3 linked regions of the Schizosaccharomyces pombe genome follow. Changing the gene in region 1 together with any one later gene gives a genetic interaction. Each region holds a gene or a part of one and is shown on either strand. Other genes may lie near its edges.

Region 1 (7,331 bases):
CATTATTTCAAAGTACATGAAATTACTGATTAAATACCTTAAAGAAAAAAATATCATAATCCGAAACTTTAGTAGGAACTTATGTGAGTTTAAGCTTATTTATTTGTTATATAGTAACTTTTACCTTAGAACGCAATGTCTTTCAAGCTGTCACAAAATTTCTATTCTGGTTTTTGAAGCCTTCTTCTCCGTAAATAAGCTTGGAATAAAAATTCTACCGCTTCAGTATTCATTTTGGTATCTTGCCACGTATCGCCCCAGCAGTAAATACCGTGATCTCTAACAATTACAGCACAAGTATCTGGGTACAAATTGATCGCTTCTTGCAAACTATCATGAAGATCAGACTCATGAGCAGTATTATTGATAACTATTCGGTTAGCAGCCTTTTATAAAAGTTTGTAAACTCATACATGGAATTTTTATCTTATCTGTTGGCTTATGAAACCCATTATTTTTAGATCCTTTTGGAATATACGATAGTACTTCAAAACCTGTTGCCGAAAAATGATCAGAATCCGCAAATAGAGTAGACAATAAAATGGCTTCCTGAGAATGGGTATGGATACATGCATATGCGTCACGCAAGCTACTGCTTTAGTAAAGAATTCAATGTTCAACAACTTTGCTGACTTACGTGTATACTGCTAAAAACAAAGGTGTACACTGAGAAGGTTTCAATCGAAGAGCTGGCATTCGCATATATTCTCGAGTACTGCAAGAGGTTAGCATCTACTCAAAATGATAAAAACAATGACAATAATAATATCATACATTAAAGACATGACAAAAAGATGGTGTAACTCCATCCTTTCCTTTTGTACACCCGAGGGAGCGATTACAATGGCATCTCTACATGAAAGTTAATATTTGACGCTTTAATAATGCTTTGTACCCAGAGCGAATGGTAATTCCTCCTCTGATTCTTTTATTAGTTATATTAAATTCAAATTAGTAATTACCCAGTTCCTGTAACCCAGCCCGACGTATACAGATCTCGACAGATTTCGCAAATTAATTCACCACATTTTTTCAAATCGCCAGAACGAAGACATCCTAAGTCTTTCTTTAGAAAATCATCCATTATTACTATGATGATAATTATCTTGATGAAAAATTTTGAAAAGGGTCACGTTTCATTAACGTTTAAAAATTTTTAAGTAGCAAAAGTAACTGTGAGTTTAATCTACGCGACATTAAGCAAACAAAGTGAAGTAAAGAATTGATGTGTATAATAGCTATCTTGATAATTATTATTTTTTTTTATGAAATTATTAAACATTGTGTCATGGCACTTGAATAAATAGGAAGTACTAAGTTTTTGCTTAAAACAAAAAGTTTATTACAGTCTATTAACCTAATGAAAATAAAGTACAATAGAAATCAATTAATAATTTTTTTATTCAGTCATCCCCAAATATTGCACTGAAAAGAGTTTGGGGAGCTTTTGGTTTTTCTTCTATATCCTGGGGTCGATTCAACTTCCTTGTATCAATTGAATCGATACTTTTGTTTTCAATTTCAGCAATAATAGGTACATTTTCAATAGAAGAAATATTTTTACGCTTTTGTTTTTCTTGACCGTACGGTAAGGCGACATTAAAGCGTTTACAAAGAAGACGTTCGGGAATGAATGTAACAACTGTACGAGGTCTTCTCAAAATTGAATCATCAGTTTCACTATGTGAATTAATCGACTCTTTTTTAGTCGAGGCTTCAAAAGAACTTACGAAACGCATCGATAGATTTTTTGACATAGGTCGGTATAGTGAAGCTGTTTGAGTAAATTCTAGTAAATGACGAGAATCAATATCTCTGAGTAATCGTGGCATATTCATTAGGTGCGCCTTAAGGAAAATCTCGTAAATTCCGGCACGCTCATCGTTATAGGGATTATCTTTCCTAGACATTGCATTTTTAGCTGTCTCAATGTCAATTAGTTGCCAAGATCCCTCATCTTCCTTGACACCATGATTAACATCACTAGGTAAACTTGCTTCACCGTTGGAATTTGTTTCACTTTTCTCAGCAAAAAGTGGTAAGCGCTCATTTGAAGTTTGGGCTTTTTTTTGTGAAAATCCTTGAGAATTTGTAAAAAGTTTTGGCTCCCAACCCTCAGGTATTGTAGGAGGAGGAAACCAATTATTTTGAAAAGGTGATTGTAAATTAAATACCACTACAAATCCTGGAAGGGGAGGTAGACCATCTGAGCAATTTTGCGATTTGATTATGCTTTTCCCTTTGCTTCTGTCTTTTTTTGACAGAAAGGTATGCTTAACGGGTGTAAATGGAGAAGCGACTTTTTTTGTAATGTTGATAGATTTATCATACCGCATTTTTGGAGCACCGAGGTCGTATATATCTTGATCTTCTATCCCATCATCATTTAAAACACCTGATCCAAATCCACCGCGCAGATTTTTTGCCATTCCAACTGGTTTTCTTTCCAGCTGAAAAACATCGTCCGCTTGATACCCGATACCGTGATAAGCTTGGTTGGTTAACTTAGTGTCATCATAATACCCTTGAAATGGAGATATAACAAAATCATGACCGTTCCATCCAAGATTTTTTAACATTTTTTCGCCAATGCTATCGTCCCTATTTGAGAATTCTCTAAGTAGAGGATCATCAATTGGTATAGATGTATCAATCGTATTTATTTTCGAAGTATAAACTTTACTAAGCTCTTGGTCAGCACGATCTTCCTCGTCCATAATATCGTCAATAGTCATTCCATGCACACTTTTGTTTTCATTCCTTGAACTTTTCCAAGATTTAGGTTGCCAACCCTCTTTTGAACCAACCGTATTAAAATAGCCAGCAGAAAATCCACCAGTAAATGCACCATGAAATCTCTTTCTATTACGCTCATCCCTGGCTTCTTGTTTCCAAACAGGAACTCCTTGATTAATTCTGGACGGCTCAAGATCAAAAGGGGAGCCATAAACTACATAAGGGTGCCGATGAACATCGACATTGCTTCTTTTTCTTGAATTGGCATACATTTTAAAACAAGAAGTAATCGTGATCCGTAGTTAAACTGAAAAAAAAAAAATTCAAAATTCAAAATTTAAGGCATATTTTAGGATACTATAAGCCCATTATTTTTGAGGCGACAAGAATACTATGTTGAGCAACTTTTAATTTTTAATAAAGCCAGATAACTTATCAAAGAATTCTGATTTGTTGACAAAAGCAATTACAATACTCAATTTTTAAACAGTTGCCCTTGCTTCGAATTTCAGCTGCCTCCGTAGTGCAATCTGCGAGCGTTAGGGTACGTTATTTATCTATTACCTAATTCTTTGTACAGTTGAAGTTTCATGAGATGAAAAATGTATCATGTATATTTTGTCTGTTATTGAGAAATCTCAACAAAGTTCTATTTAGTATTACTTCATGTTGAACCAAGCATTCATAAACTAAGAAATTTGTTGGTAGCTGGTAAACTGAGCGAATTATCGTCGGTTGATTGGTAAAACATCATTTCTTATACTTCGTTTGCTCAACCATACTACGAATTTTAATGCCTAACAATTAATGAGCAATACACATTTGGATATGCTGCTTATATAATTTCACATATCTTGATAACTTAATTATCAATTAAGGAATGGTGGTTAGGCAAGTATGTGTATCATTACGTGGGGTTTTTCATAGATGTATGGTTTGAAGATGTTAAAAAAATAAGTGTAAGCGGTTACTATGCTAATGTTCTATAAAAACCAATGTTCATATAAATATTCGTCGATTGCGGGGCTTCTTCTCATAAGGATTATAATTACTAAACATAGAGGTATTGGCAGGTCAGTTGTAATTCGCGTACAACATCTTCGACTCACCACTTCTATAGTGGTACATAAATTACCGTTTCTTTCTGCGAAAAAGTGGGTTAGAAGTTCGTGCTATTACTTCTAAATAATCGTGAGAATTTAATTCAATCGTAGGATACAAAGCTGTTCATTATATAAAACTATCAACTTTCGAATATTCTATGGTGTGGATATAATTTTCATTTATCTTTATGAGTAAAAACTATACATATCATATTTACAATTAAAAATCTTCTTTCTTTCTACTATATGGATGGATATTTCGAATTATGTTGACAATTTCTACTTTGATGAGAAAATTGCTTCAGCATTTGAATTAGGTAAGCGTTTAGTAGTTCAATAAGCTTGCACATAAAAAAAAAATATTGGGTTTTTGTACCGGGATCTTAAAAGACGGAATTACTGACAGCTTTAGGAGAAGTAAGCACGGTTGATTTGTTAACGCTGGATATTACTGAGCTAGAAAGACGCACACATTGTAGTCAAAGTGAGTTATTACAGTTAATTGAGCAGATATCCCTCCTTCTTCAACCAGTAAGATGTTCTGCTTCCAAAGTCACTTCGAAATATTTGACAACTGGCGATGTAAAGTTGGATGAAACTCTACATGGAGGTATACCAGTAGGACAGTTAACTGAAATATGTGGTGAAAGCGGTTCAGGGAAGTCACAGTTTTGTATGCAGCTTTGTTTAATGGTTCAACTACCTCTCAGTTTAGGAGGAATGAACAAAGCAGCTGTCTTCATTTCTACAGAGTCCGGTCTTGAAACAAAACGATTATTTGAACTGGCGCGTTATTTACCAGAAAGGTATCCCAAAGCTGATAAGAAAGACATAATTATAAAAAATCCAGGAGATAGGGTGTATACTATATTATGCCCAGATCTGGAATCTCAAGAACATATCATTCAGTATCAACTGCCGATTTTATTCAATCGGGATAAAATTGGGTTGGTTATATTGGATAGTGTCGCCTCCAACTACAGAGCTGAGCTCCGTTACAACCGATCCAAAAGTCATTTTAGAGATTTAGATAATATTGCCAAACGTGGAAATCAATTGGGAAAGTTAGCTATGACTCTACGCACTTTAGCTCATCAACATGAAGCTGCTGTTGTCATAGCTAACCAAGTTAGCGATAGAATTCCTAGAGATTATGATGCTATTGGGTTGTTTAGTTTAGATTATCAATCGCAATGGTTTTCGGGATGGGATGACACAGATCCAAATCCCAAAATACCATCTCTTGGTCTCGTTTGGACTAATAACATCAGTACGAGATTAGCATTAATTAAGAAAACCGACTCTGCCACCAATAATTCGGGGAGAATCTTTCGGGTTGTTTATTCACCAAATTCTCCAAGGCTTGACGTACGAATATGCATAGGATCGGTTGGGATATATTCGTGCTAGCATTTTTGTAAAAATTTTATATATAATATAATAAAACCGGTTTATGAATTGCCCTAACTTTGTTTAATCGACTGTCGCTTATCAATCATTCGCAGAAAGAAAAGTAATGCTTTGAGTAACTGTTACATATATAAGTGTACTTATTTATCTTTATATTTATATTACCTCTGTCACTATTAAATATATATTTTGTTGATCTATGATGGTAGTGCATTTTTATTAGAATCCGACATACTTTAGTGGACTGAATTTTGGATATACCAGTTGGGTATTGAAATGGAAAAAAATACAATAAAAAGTTTTACACGTAACAAAGAATGCCCAAAGAGCTCTCTTAACCGACGAATGGCTTTTTCTACCTGTTTTTACTATTGCGCGTAAAAGATTTTGTAAGACCTTTCCGATAGCTTCCGCTATTGGCGATCCTTTAGAAATTTGCACCTAACATTTTTACCAAAAGCCAAGTATGCATTGGTGATATCTTGTAAATAAAAAATGAACATTCTTTTATAACATAATCGTTACAAAAATAGAACACAAAAATGTCAGTTCCAATTGATCGAATCAATACGGTTGACACTTTAGCCAATACACTGGAAAGTAATTTAAAGTTTTTTCCAGAAAAAATACATTTCAACATCCGGGGCAAACTAATAGTCATTGATCGCGTTGAACTTCCAATATTACCAACTACCGTGTTGGCACTTCTATTTCCTAATGGGTTTCATCTGCTTTTAAAACATGAGGGAGGTGATGTCTCATCATGTTTCAAATGCCACAAAATCGACCCTTCCATTTGTAAATGGATTTTGGACACCTATCTACCATTATTTAAAAAAAGTAATAATGCTTATCCCTCAAAAATTGCATTTAATCCTATATCGAATACTACCCTCGTTTTATTCTTAACAGAATGTTGCAATATCTATTTATTTTCTGAAAATAAAAAGCCCGTCGACCAAAAAATCAGGAGCGACTTATTAGAGCAAACTTTCAAGAACAACGACGTTTTTGAAAGTGCAGACAAAAAAAAAATCCGAAAAGGGCTGAGTGATGGACCGCTAGTTGATGCATTACAGCATTGTGGATTTCGCTACAACGATAAATGGGCCAAGAGAGTAAAGGAGCCAAAATTAATGAGCTTAATGTCGTATATCATAACAACAGTCGAGAGCTCCTCATTAAGCGAAGAATTTTTGAGTAAAATTTTGAAGCTATGGGGACAGCCAGGTAATAAGTGCTGGTGGATAAACGAAGTTATAAAAGTAAACGGATCTTTAATCAATGTTTGGAGGAGAAAGCAGTGGTTGTTGGAAGTTACGATTATGGGAAATCGTGAAAATTCTCAAGACTAAGTGTTTTAGTAAAAATAAGATTAAAAAACATTTTGCTAAGTTAGGCCGTGCATGCAGCCATTCTTTTAACAGATACCAATGTTACGAGGTTTCCCAGATTTTACTCAAATTGCGTGATAATTATTGTAGTATATTTATTTTGAATAATAATTTTTTATTTGAATTTTGTTAATACTGTTTTTTATAAATATTACAATACGTTCAATCTAGTTGTGGTAACATGAAAGTGCTTCCACTTACTTGATGCTCTCTACGCAAGAGTATGCCTAATGAGTTTATTTCCCAATCGCTTAGTACTCTTACAAATACACCCTTAAATATTCAGAAAAAGCTATTACCAATCACCAAATACAGTATGTAGCTGTTTTACCCTTACATTGCTGACGTTACATTTAGGAAACCAGTTGTTATATGCAGTAGAGCAAAATCAGATTACTATAGTGTTAGGCCACACAGGATGTGGTAAAACAACTCGTAAGTATTTTGATTAGATGGTTTATTAAACTAAAAATAATCTTGAAGAAATCCCTCAATTTTTATACGAAGCTGGATGGGCGTCCCAAAACGGTATTATAGGATGTACACAGGTTAGTCACAACTTTGTTTATTTATCATCCTCCTAACTTATTTGAAAGCCCAGAAGACTCGTAGCAAAGAGCGTCTCTGAACGAGTATCTTTGGAACTGAACTCTCCTCCTGGAAGTTTGTGTGGATATAGCATTCAATT
Region 2 (5,606 bases), on another chromosome or scaffold:
AAGGAATGATCTTGAAAATCCCGAGGATGTAAGTATCACTTTCAATACCACCTGTAACACATTAAAAGTTCTAGTCGATACTAACCAAGTTTAGGATATAATTGTATTTTCTTCTGAGTGTACATTTGAAAAAGTTACGGAATGTACCACTGGGAGAGCTTACATGCTCAAATATCCTTCTAGCGCTCATAGCCTATTTTACTGGATGCAAGAAGCCTCAGACGATAACGATACTTCTTACGCTGAAAGAATTAACAGCTACATTAAGGATCAAGATTTATTAGATCCGGCCCGCTCTGATGTTGCAACGGTTTCTGATATGATGGAAGTGGATACTGTTGAGCAATCGGAACCTATTGCTCAACCAACTGAATCTTCAAAAGAGAGCTCCGAGATTGGAGCCCCGAACAGCGATGAAATTAATTCATCGGAAGCTGTGAGGAATCTATTGGCTACAATTTCTGCTCAGGCTGGATTTGGAGGTAGTACAGTCGATCTTTGCGAAATCCTCAAACCTTCGAATTTAACCGATCTTTTATGCCAAGAAGGTGTTATTGATCGACTCATGCCTTACATGCCTCCTGATACCCCAAATAATTTGGAGGGGGTTTTGGCTATTGTTAGTAGTCCTCAATATGCTCAAGCTTTGAGAAGCTTTTCTCAAGCTTTAAATTCTCCTGGTGGTGTAAACATTATTTCAGCACTTGGTCTCTCACTCGACGAATCTGCCAATCCTAATGAGGGAGGTGCTCTGCAATTTCTTAAAGCAATTGCTCGCTTCGTGAGCAGGAATAATGGTTCTGAGTAATGTCTTCGATTAAGTAATTCGTCGTATATCAAAAATTTCTATTTAAAATATTATCCGTTGAATCGTTTCTTTATAATTCACTGACGATTCGTATTAAAAGTTTTTAAATTGAGCATTACTGGCGTTCTTTTTTTTTTTTTTAAATAAATATGGAGGAATTAAAATGCTTTCATGGTAGGATTTGTCCTCTTACCAAAATGAGTAAGAGTAAGTTGGAGTACACAATACAATGTTGCTCGCTCAAAATGCTCTTTACAGAATGTTTATTGGTACAGTTTCATTTTTTCTCATATATGAAATATTTGTTTTAGGAAATAGGCAATCTTTATTTTTCTTGCATACAATGCTTATCTTTCCTAAACACTTAAGATTTATAAATGCAATGTATGTTCATGAATATGAACTGCGAGCGCCAAGGATGAATTACATTAGGACGACTAAAAATGAGAAGTTGCACTCCCGAAGTATCTCTACTTCATACTTCATTATTATTTATGCTTTATATTGATTATTGTTGTTTTACAAAATATGTTTTATTTCCAAAACAGTTGGTAAAATGTAGGATATGTAATGTCAAATACATAATACCAACATCTATTCTTAATAAGTTAGAAAGTTGAACAGTATTGAAATGATTTACTAAAGCTAGAAAGTAGCCAACTGTAAATGGTTAAAGTATTGACGTGTAGTCACATTCAATTTTTGCGCAATATCATTGAATTTCAAATCTAACGATTTTACTTTTGTAAACAGCCAAAAAAGTGGTCATAAAACGGTCAGGGAGGGACTCGAACCCTCGACCTCACGATTAACAGTCGTGCGCAATAACCAACTACGCTACCCGACCTCGGTGTCATCCGTTACATTTAGTAATATATATTGTTAAAAAAATAAAGCGTAGTAAATGTAATTGCTTTTTTGAGCTATGGCTTGTTACATTCTTTCTCTTGAGCAAATTTAGACTTGCTCATTACAATCATAATCGCTTTATAACGTCTATCTGCTTGTCTTCATTTGCATGAAAAAAAATCATATAAACAATGTATGCGGATAGTCAACTCAAACAAAATAGTAGTAATTAAATAGCAATAATAAAGAAGGAGCCTACAGCACCCCGGATTCCCATGTTGTCTCCAACCATAGTACTAACGAGGCCCTCAGACGCTTAACTGCAGTGATCGGACGGGAACTGGTGTTTTCGCCTAGGTATGGCCGTAGACAGCTGTTAAGTTTTAATAAAGTATATAAACGATAGTTATCACTCATTAGGAATTCGAATGTATGTTGGCTCCACTACGAATAAGATATGAATGTTAGCAATATAACCTGAAACTATATTTGACATTCTTTTTTTAGAAATATCATTAAACAAGCAAAATCTATTTTCTATGATTGTTTCAAAAAGTCAAGATGAAAAGTTCAAAACTCAAATTTAAAATTACTTCTTCAACATTACTGATTCTAACAACATAAATCTCCTATCGAACGTATTAATAAAAGTGGAAACATGCTGTAGTTTGTACATCAGGTCAAACAATTATTAATAAAATTAGAAAATAAGTTTTTCTACCTTGAGCCCTTCATTTCCATATTAATATATATATATATATGATTAGCCAAATAGCTGGTGTTGTAACTAAACGTTCTTAACTGCTTTCATATAAAGTAACGGTGCAACGTGTTACTTATGCAGAGCTTACAACAGATAAATCGAAATTTGGGTTAAGCCCTGGTTAAATTTGTAGTTCTGACAATTGTGAGGTATTTTAGATGTTTTCAATATTTTGTTTGAAAGTTTAACAATATTATGGAGGTGAATGATACCTCTTTGCATAAAGGATTTGGCCTTGACATAAATTCTCAACGTGTATTTGGAGCACAAGCAGCAATTTCTCGTAACAATTATTCAAAAGTGAATGCTTCAATTAATCCTTCCCCTCCTAGGAGTAATGATAATTCTAATAAGGAGTTTAGTTATTCTAAGGATGTGAATAACAATGGTGCTGTTGAGGAGCTAAGTCTTACGCAGTTGTTTGAAGTACCTAGTCAAGCTGCTTTTGCAAAACAGAGTTCCCAGGACATTTCGGATGATGAACTTATTCAACATGATTCTCGTAAGGTGATATCGTCGCCTTATTCACCCAAGCAGACACATACAGTGTTAAAACGCTTATACGATCGTCAATCAGTTATATCGGACCATGAAAAGCTGTTGACTCCTCAGAATGTATCTAATTCTTCCCAAATTCTTTCCCCATTTACTTCTCTATTACCATCAACTCTTTCAACTTTAAAAGATACACCTTTGTCAGTTTCTCAAAATGAGAAAAACTTAGAAACCGTTGGAGAAGTCCTTGTACCTGAAACCGTAGCTCAACATAGGACAAAGTTTTACGATTACACTTTGGATGAGATGGAAAATGAGACAGAAAGCGGTCAAGTAGAGACTACACCTACTCGACTGGCGACTTCTCTAGGGTCTCCCGTTCTTTATGGTCGAGTAGAGTCCACTCCTCCTGCTTTTTTACCAGAGACATCCGAAAAACAATATAAACGAAAATTTAGCTTTACTGAGCCCTCGTCTGAAAAAGTTGATAATACGGAAACCAAGTTTTCAAAAAAAACTAAAAACATTAATGATGAAAACTTTCCTAATCCATTTAATGTGATTTCTTCATATGAAACAAGTGCTTCACCGTCGACTGTAATAGATCAGTCTAGTCAAGTGAGCTCAATTTTTGTAAACAAACGGCTGAGAAAATCGGTTAATAATCAAGCTATCTCAAGGTCTGACAGCCTAAGCCTGGATACTCCTAAAATTGATAGTTTATTCACTAGGGCTTCTATTAAGCCATTAAAACCTTCCCAATCACCGAATTCAAGAAGGTCTTTTAAAAACCGTGTACTCGCTTTTTTTAAAGGATATCCCTCTTTTTACTACCCAGCAACTCTTGTCGCACCCGTACATTCAGCCGTAACAAGTTCCATCATGTATAAGGTTCAATTTGATGATGCAACTATGAGCACGGTTAATTCAAATCAAATTAAGAGATTTTTTTTGAAAAAAGGAGACGTTGTACAATCCACAAGATTAGGAAAAATCAAGCATACTGTTGTGAAAACATTTCGATCTACTAATGAGCAATTATCCCTTATAGCAGTGGACGCTCTAAACAACGACATGGTTATTTTGGCACACGGAGAAATTGAGGTTACGGTTCCCATTTCTACTATTTATGTTGCTCCTGTGAACATTCGGCGGTTTCAAGGAAGAGACCTCAGTTTTTCTACTTTAAAAGATATGAAGTTTGAGGAAACATCATTTCTTCCTTCACATGATTCTCAGAGAAACCGCTCTTCTTTGAAAGAAAGGGATTCTTCCTTTGTCAAGAAGAACTTGGATTCAGAAAGTAATCAGCTCATCTTTGACGATTGCGTGTTTGCATTCAGCGGTCCCGTGCATGAGGATGCCTATGACCGAAGTGCATTGGAAACTGTAGTTCAGGATCATGGAGGATTAGTTCTTGATACAGGCTTACGCCCTTTGTTTAATGACCCGTTTAAAAGCAAACAAAAAAAGTTACGCCATTTGAAACCTCAAAAGCGAAGTAAATCGTGGAATCAAGCTTTCGTTGTATCTGACACATTTTCTAGAAAGGTTAAATATTTAGAAGCTCTAGCTTTTAATATCCCGTGTGTCCATCCTCAATTTATTAAACAGTGCTTAAAAATGAACAGAGTTGTTGATTTTTCTCCTTATTTATTGGCATCTGGCTATTCACACCGTCTAGATTGTACACTTTCCCAACGGATAGAACCTTTTGATACCACTGATTCTTTATATGACAGACTTTTGGCAAGGAAGGGTCCTTTATTTGGAAAAAAGATTTTATTTATTATACCTGAAGCAAAATCTTGGCAGAAAAAGATTGAAAATACAGAGCAGGGTCAAAAAGCTTTGGCTCATGTCTATCACGCGTTGGCATTGGGTGCTGACGTTGAAATTAGACCAAATGTTGCACATTTGGAGTGTGATTTGATACTTACGATGGATGGAAACATTGTAGATGAAACTAATTGTCCGGTCGTTGATCCTGAATGGATAGTCGAATGTCTTATTAGTCAGTCTGATATTTCTACTTAGTTTTGGTTTTTTGATATAGTTATTTTTACTAACTCCCCCTGAGTTTCACTCTCATTAATTTAGCTTTTTATTAATTTTAGATATTTGTTGTTTATTAATTTATTTGCAATACTGACGAAAAGTGTCAATTTCAATATTAAACAAAAACTTTCTCTAAAAATCTACATGAGAGGATTGATTGGGATTATTAAAAATTTTCAACGAACTTAAAGTCCTTTATTTTTTCACTTTTTTTCGTGGCTGTAGAATATTGGCTTGCGTAGCAGGTTTCGAATGGTTGTGATTTTTACGATCATCACGTTTTGCCAACCCACATATATCTAGCTTGTAGCGCTTATAATGAAAATCCTTTAAATTTTGTACAGCGGAAAGTGTGTTACTAAGAAACTTTTCTGTTGACGACTGTGCATCAGATAAAGAGCCAAATGGATGCTTCAATAAAGTATCGTAAGTGACTCTGTATAATTTAGCTGGAATCATTACACCAGAATCACCAAAATTATCTTTAGCAATAAATTCTCTTGTTTGATAGAACTGTAGCTGTAATGTGAAAAAGCCAACTAGTTTACCTGAGGAGCACTCTTGTCTATAAGTCAGCGTATCCCAAAACTCTTCAACGGACATGTCACTTTTCTCATCTTGAAGCTCGCATAA
Region 3 (5,724 bases), on another chromosome or scaffold:
GCCATATCAATGTGAGGACTATTTGGAGTAAACAGCTCTTCGCAGGTTTCCACACCAACAACGGTTTCATTGCATTGAAGAATGGCATCTCCAATAGGAACGGTTGTTTGGTTTAAAGACTTTGCAACAAAAGTAGGCAAGTAATGAGTTTCCACAACTCTTGGCCTTAACCAGGGAGTAAACCAACGAGACTCACGAAAATTTCCATCGTCACAAAGCCAAATCTTGGGACGGATTAACAAGATTTTTCCATTTAGAGCTAGAATACGGCAGTTGTGACGCATGGCTTTGTGCATTACAGGCATACCGATGTCAAGGAGAATGTCTTGGCAATCAGGATCGTGAATAATCGAACATAACATTTCCCAACTATGGTAGTAAGTGTCACTTTCTAGAAAATGATCTTCACAGCCATAGCCTCTAATGCGTTTGTTAATAGAAAGTTACAGTGCATAAAATTAATATCAAGGTAAAATACAAGTTTCAATATTGCAAGAAGATGAATAAACTCAACCGAAGTCGCACTCAGTAAACTTGACCATGGCTATCCTTCATGAAGTTTAAACTTTAGCTTATTCACTGATACACTTGCAACATTTAAATCCATTTCTATTACATACGTGACTTCTAATTCTGGACCAACACGAAGGCTTGCGTTTTGTCTTTTCGCCTCTTTGATGGAATCAATGATGCGTAGACGGTTTCCCTCAAAGTCCATTGCCCACTGGTTCAGCTGACTACAGAAGTTAGATCATTGAGACGAAAAATGATTATAGCATACCAAGATGCGATGGTTACATATCGTTCCATAATGAACTGAATGCTTAACTTGAGGTTTATTCCCAAACAAGTAATTTAACTTATAATGTTTTTTTCGTACTATAAAAGTTCCAACTATGAGTGAAGATCGAAGTTTCTATTCAAATGTCTATTCACGGTTATGGCAGTAAGTAAGAGCAGGAGGTAGTTGTCATAGTAGAGTCAAGTGTAAATAAAGGGTTCGCATCATATAGCAAAAATGCCAGTTTCCCTAAGTAAGAAAAAGAAAATTTAAATAATTTTAAAGACCCTCTCTGATATTAGTAAAAAGAACCTTAATACTTCTTATGCAAATTTTGGCGACTCTTCTAACTACATGTGTATTAATTGTACATTACTACATAGCTTAAAAATTGATTTATAAAATCAGAATAATTGTAATTTTTATTTGATATTGCAATACAAATTCTAGTTTTAGCGATATATCTTCTCAAGTGAAGTCATTTCTGGGACTTCCTTTAATAAAAAAATTTGCCTATCTTTTTCAGATATACGAGCTAATAAATGAAATTTTTTGATTTAAAGTCTGTCTGGTTTTATTAGTGTTACTCGCTTATAATTACAGGTTTTTTGATGATTATAGAGCAAGCTGATATCTGGAATACGCACAACAGTAATTACATTTTTTTAATAGTACAAAATTGTTTTAATTTTATCCTTGAAAATATTTCATGATTTAATTAATATACTTAGTTCTTGGAGCATATAATCGAAATTACTTAGCTTAAAGAAGAAGAAGCAAAGCGACAGATGCCATAATGGTTGATACTCATTTTTTAACTCCCCTTCAGTTACTTCTTGTTGCAAATTATAGACAGATGATTCTTCAGCTGCTCAATAAATTTAATAGTTTTAGTGATTGCAAAGATCAGTCTTCTTTTTTGAAAGGGTATTAATTAGAATTGACAAAAGATTTCAGGTTTATTATTACAATGAAACAACTTTCTTCATCTTCTTGGGCTTTTTTCTCCTAAATTTCGTCCAAGTACTAAATTTTAGGTAAATTTCTATCAGTGCGCTTAAACCAACTTTAATAACTTAATTTGTACCTATCTTCGACATGGTGATGAGAATTGCAAGTTCAAGATTTCGAGCAGAATTACCCTCTATAGGCCTTTTATGTTGCTAAAATTATAACATAAGTACTTTTGCACCTAATCGTATCATCAATCATCTTTGATGAATTTTCTTGCCTGCAAACCTCAAAAGCGATAGAAGAACAAAAGAATCAGTTTTATCTCCAACTGCTATGTTTAGATTCTCTATTATAATGCGACGATAGATACAAATTTACAAGATAAATAATTTTACATTACGAATATTTGAAGCAATCTGCCTCTGTAAGCTCAACTGTAAACTTCATGGTTTAAGGTGAAAAAAGACATCTTTTTTTATATATCATTATGTATACACACAGTCTGTCCCTATGAAACTATCAATCGGGATTATTAACCATTGTTTCCGTTTCTCGATACAGGATATTGAAAATTATCTAACAGTTTTGCTTCCTTGGGCACTAAGAGACCTTTTACTAAAGAAAAACCCATCAAATATTAGACCTTGTAGATTAGTAAAATTAATAAAAATAAGCATCTCTCTTGAAACCATCTCAAGAGATAATCTGCTTCTGCTTGCGTATTATAAAGTTACCTTCAATCATTTCGGCGTGTAAACAAGTACCTCATATCAATAACCAAAAGCTCAACTCGTTTGTAGTTCATAAAGAAAAAGAAAAGAAAAGGAAACCTTGTTTAAGGATTCTACAAAGATGTAATTTTCTGGCTTGAGATCATTTACTTTCCTAGATTTCAACTTTCTGCTGTATACCAACCATTTCCTAACTACCATCCAACAAAAGCACGTAATTCCCATTCCTAAAGCGAGAGCAATTAATGCTCAAATGAGGTTTATACATGAAATAGATATTCTCACTCTTATTCTTTAATTAATTATTAAATAGGGTGGTTTGTGAGTTTTTTTCAACAATATTAAGCTTTTCGTAAGCCACCTTTCGGAACTGCCTTTACAGGCTTTAAAACTTATATTCTATGGATACAAGTTCCAATGTTTTTCATTATCAAGTATTGTGGACGTCTGATAAAGCAAAAAAAGTAAAAGTTTGGAAAGATGGGACAATGCGCTTCCACAGCTTCAATAATCGTGGAATTCTCTACGATTCTGATAACCGAGTCGTAGATGATTTTTTCCTTAACAACAAGAGAATTGTTCTGGATTCTGAAATTGAATTTAATAGAACTATTGTTTACGTTGAGAATTTACAAACAACTACTGAAGCGAATATTCCACCTATACCGAGGAAATCAAAATTGAGTGAGACAGGGAAGAGGCCAGCTTATTTATTAAAACCATTCCAGCCTCCATTTCACTCCGCTAACTCAGATGTATCTAACAATTCAAATGGTGCTTTATCGTCAAATATGTTAAAAACACACGCTCATCATACAAATTCAACAAAATCCACGATCTTCCGGAACGCAAATTTGCAATCTTATGGAGTAGATGACTCAGATATTGGTAGTTTGAGATGTTCAAGTAAGCATCAACTGTCAGTAACACCGGAAATACAACCCAAAGCTAAGTTTAGACCAAACTCATATCTAGCTTCTTCTGTTGAGGAATCTAATCGAGCTAACAATACCTCTCCCTATCCCCCATCTAACTCATCCGTAACTGCGCTACCGAAACCTTCGAAAATTGCATATATCCCTGTTTTGTCAAAACCCAAGTCTTTTAATGGCACCTTGGTTGAAGATCCTGTAGAAGAATTTGGAGAAGACGACATAGCTTCTGACTTTTTTTCTTCCCCTTCTGCCGATCTCGAGGCAGATGATTTTACCACTCTAAATAATTCAAATGCTGGTCATTTGTTACAAAACCTAAGTAATGATAACGTAAGTGTCTCCGTGAAGGCATTAGAAAATGGAAATGAAGAAGTTTCTAATAATCATGCTCGATCTCCTCATTCTTCCCGCGCTTGTAATACCATACCTTCCAACAAAAACGATGGGCTAAATGATGATCATCAAAGACAAGATTCTTCTGTTGCAGAACCCAGTCCTACTTCTAAACGTCTCCGTTTGACTCGCCTTCCGTTACCTCTGCTTCGGAAACCCACGGGGAAACGACAAAACTTTATTAATATCACAGTTACCGACCCCTCAAAAAACTTGTACGAAAGAAGTGTCAAAACTGCTGCCGAGCTGGCATCGCTTCAAAATGTAACAGAAACAACTGATAATGAAATACCAAACTCTCCTGATTTTCTAGATGCAGCATCAGAAGAGGATGAACACATTCCTTCGCTAGATTCGTCATCTCTTTTAACACCTTTGGCTTTGCCCAACAAAAAAGCCTTTCAACCCGTGAAGTTTCGTGTACCGTCTTTTTCATCTCCTTTAGTTAAACCAGCATCTTCGTCCTCGTTTGGTAGGAGTCACTCTCACTTAGGCACGTCCCTTCGCTCAAACGAACTTAATGGATCTAGTGCTTCTTCTTCAATCTTTCTACAATCCAACAATGCAGTCAATCCTAACGTTTCACCTTCTACTGTGCTTGAACATGCCAAACATCCTTCCTTGGCCAAACATTCAGGTGTATCGCTGAGAACAGGCTTGTTGATATATCCTAAATATGCAAATGGTTCGAAAAGAAAAGACGGTTTTGGAGCTACTTCTATAATATCTTCAGGGGAACATTCGTCGTTGCCTAAAAACTCGAAATCCAGAAATGTGTCGGTATTTTCTAGCCCTTTTAATGTCCCTTCGTTTACTGTTTCTTCTTCGGACCAAGTCCAAAAGAAAAAAGGAAATGTTCCTAATGCTATTGAAACGGACTCTTCTCCTTCGGATACCATTTCATCCTCGCCTACTGTTCGAGCTGTAAATCTCTCACCCAGCAAAAACCAAAAGCCTCCGAAAATACTTACCAAAATTCCGGATATTTTTTCTAAAGCGGGAAAGAAATCTCCTATTTTACCAACTTTTCAAGAGTCTTGTTCGTTACCTATTGAGCCTTTTTCGTCAAACATTACGGATTTGCCATTTGTAAATACAGTAACACTTGCTTCAACGAGTAGCAAGATCAAAAGGGCAAAGTTAAAAATGCTAAAATTTAAGCATGCCATGACTACACAAGGACGCGATCTCGATTCGGACGAAGATGGTGACTTTATTTGAAATTAATTTTTCTTTCGTACGTTGAAACTTCTCTCTCAAGCCGACTTTGTTACATATAATTTTTAATTCAAAAAACAGTACTGAATTTTGATTTCTGGTTTCCTTCATGTATTATTATCAACATTTATTTTTCCATAGTTCATTTAGGTTTTAGCTATACTTATTTAGCTCTTTTACATATAATTAATTTTTTTTTTTTAAACATTAGATTTCAGCTTGTTTTTGGTGTTGTTAGTACAATTCTAGGTTTTGATTTTCATTTTTTAGTAGCACATACATTGCTTTTTCAAAACCTTGAGTTTCTTCTTTGAACCTTTGAGCAAATAAGTATCAGATTTATTCTTTTCTTTTAAAAAACCAACTATTTGGGTTATTATGAAAATGTTGTAAATATTTTAAGTTAAATTATCTTTTGTAGTCATTTATTTTCTATACATGTTTAAATTTTTCAGCACTAAATAGTGTCTGTTGGTGAGCTCCAAAAATCTTGTTAAAGATGGGTAAAAAGCGAAAACAGACCATAAAAAATGACTATAATGAAAAAATTACGAAAAGAAAGGTCAAAAATAATTTGACTGATGGAAAAGCTAGAGCGTTAACGGTTTTTGAGTCTTTACCTTTAGAAGTTTTAAGATTAATATTTTTGTTATCCAATAATTCGAATTTGGCAGTGACTTCTCGTAGTTTGAGACACCGATTATCTTTAAGG

The links. Genes that interact genetically often act in the same process or in processes that back each other up.
Region 2: mutations in rad57 (region 1) and crb2 together harm fitness more than expected from each alone (negative genetic interaction), as found in Schizosaccharomyces pombe (3 studies listed by BioGRID, with this or other methods).
Region 3: of rad57 (region 1) and dbl2, a mutation in one rescues a mutant of the other (synthetic rescue), as found in Schizosaccharomyces pombe (3 studies listed by BioGRID, with this or other methods).

Annotation. Positions count from the first base shown.
Region 1 is NC_003424.3:2,119,201-2,126,531, forward strand, and holds rad57 (DNA recombination mediator, RecA family ATPase Rad57/Rhp57), read left to right. Parts: upstream 1-3,829; 5' UTR 3,830-4,089; coding exon 4,090-4,156; exon of another isoform or gene 4,157-4,251; coding exon 4,252-5,249; 3' UTR 5,250-5,306; downstream 5,307-7,331. Other genes in the region: ATP-dependent 3'-5'-directionality DNA helicase fml2, read left to right, coding at 1-20; mde1 (5'-methylthioribulose-1-phosphate dehydratase), read right to left, coding at 162-370, 414-589, 638-715, 775-852, 896-919, 963-1,084; gpl1 (Gpl1-Gih35-Wdr83 complex RNA-binding subunit), read right to left, coding at 1,404-3,008; whi2 (phosphatase activator), read left to right, coding at 5,792-6,604; gih35 (ATP-dependent RNA helicase), read left to right, coding at 6,867-6,957, 7,001-7,078, 7,127-7,191, 7,240-7,331. UniProt on the Schizosaccharomyces pombe protein: Involved in recombination DNA repair and in the repair of gamma-ray-induced damage.
Region 2 is NC_003423.3:4,208,472-4,214,077, forward strand, and holds crb2 (DNA repair protein), read left to right. Parts: upstream 1-2,495; 5' UTR 2,496-2,615; coding exon 2,616-4,952; 3' UTR 4,953-5,106; downstream 5,107-5,606. Other genes in the region: proteasome regulatory subunit rpn1301, read left to right, coding at 1-28, 95-808; histone lysine acetyltransferase Rtt109, read right to left, coding at 5,169-5,606. UniProt on the Schizosaccharomyces pombe protein: Essential for cell cycle arrest at the G1 and G2 stages following DNA damage by X-, and UV-irradiation, or inactivation of DNA ligase. Plays a role in the response to DNA damage.
Region 3 is NC_003421.2:307,672-313,395, forward strand, and holds dbl2 (DNA recombination protein Dbl2), read left to right. Parts: upstream 1-2,642; 5' UTR 2,643-2,867; coding exon 2,868-5,015; 3' UTR 5,016-5,224; downstream 5,225-5,724. Other genes in the region: qns1 (glutamine-dependent NAD(+) synthetase), read right to left, coding at 1-420, 621-737, 782-810; SPOM_SPCC736.02 (uncharacterized protein), read left to right, coding at 5,512-5,724.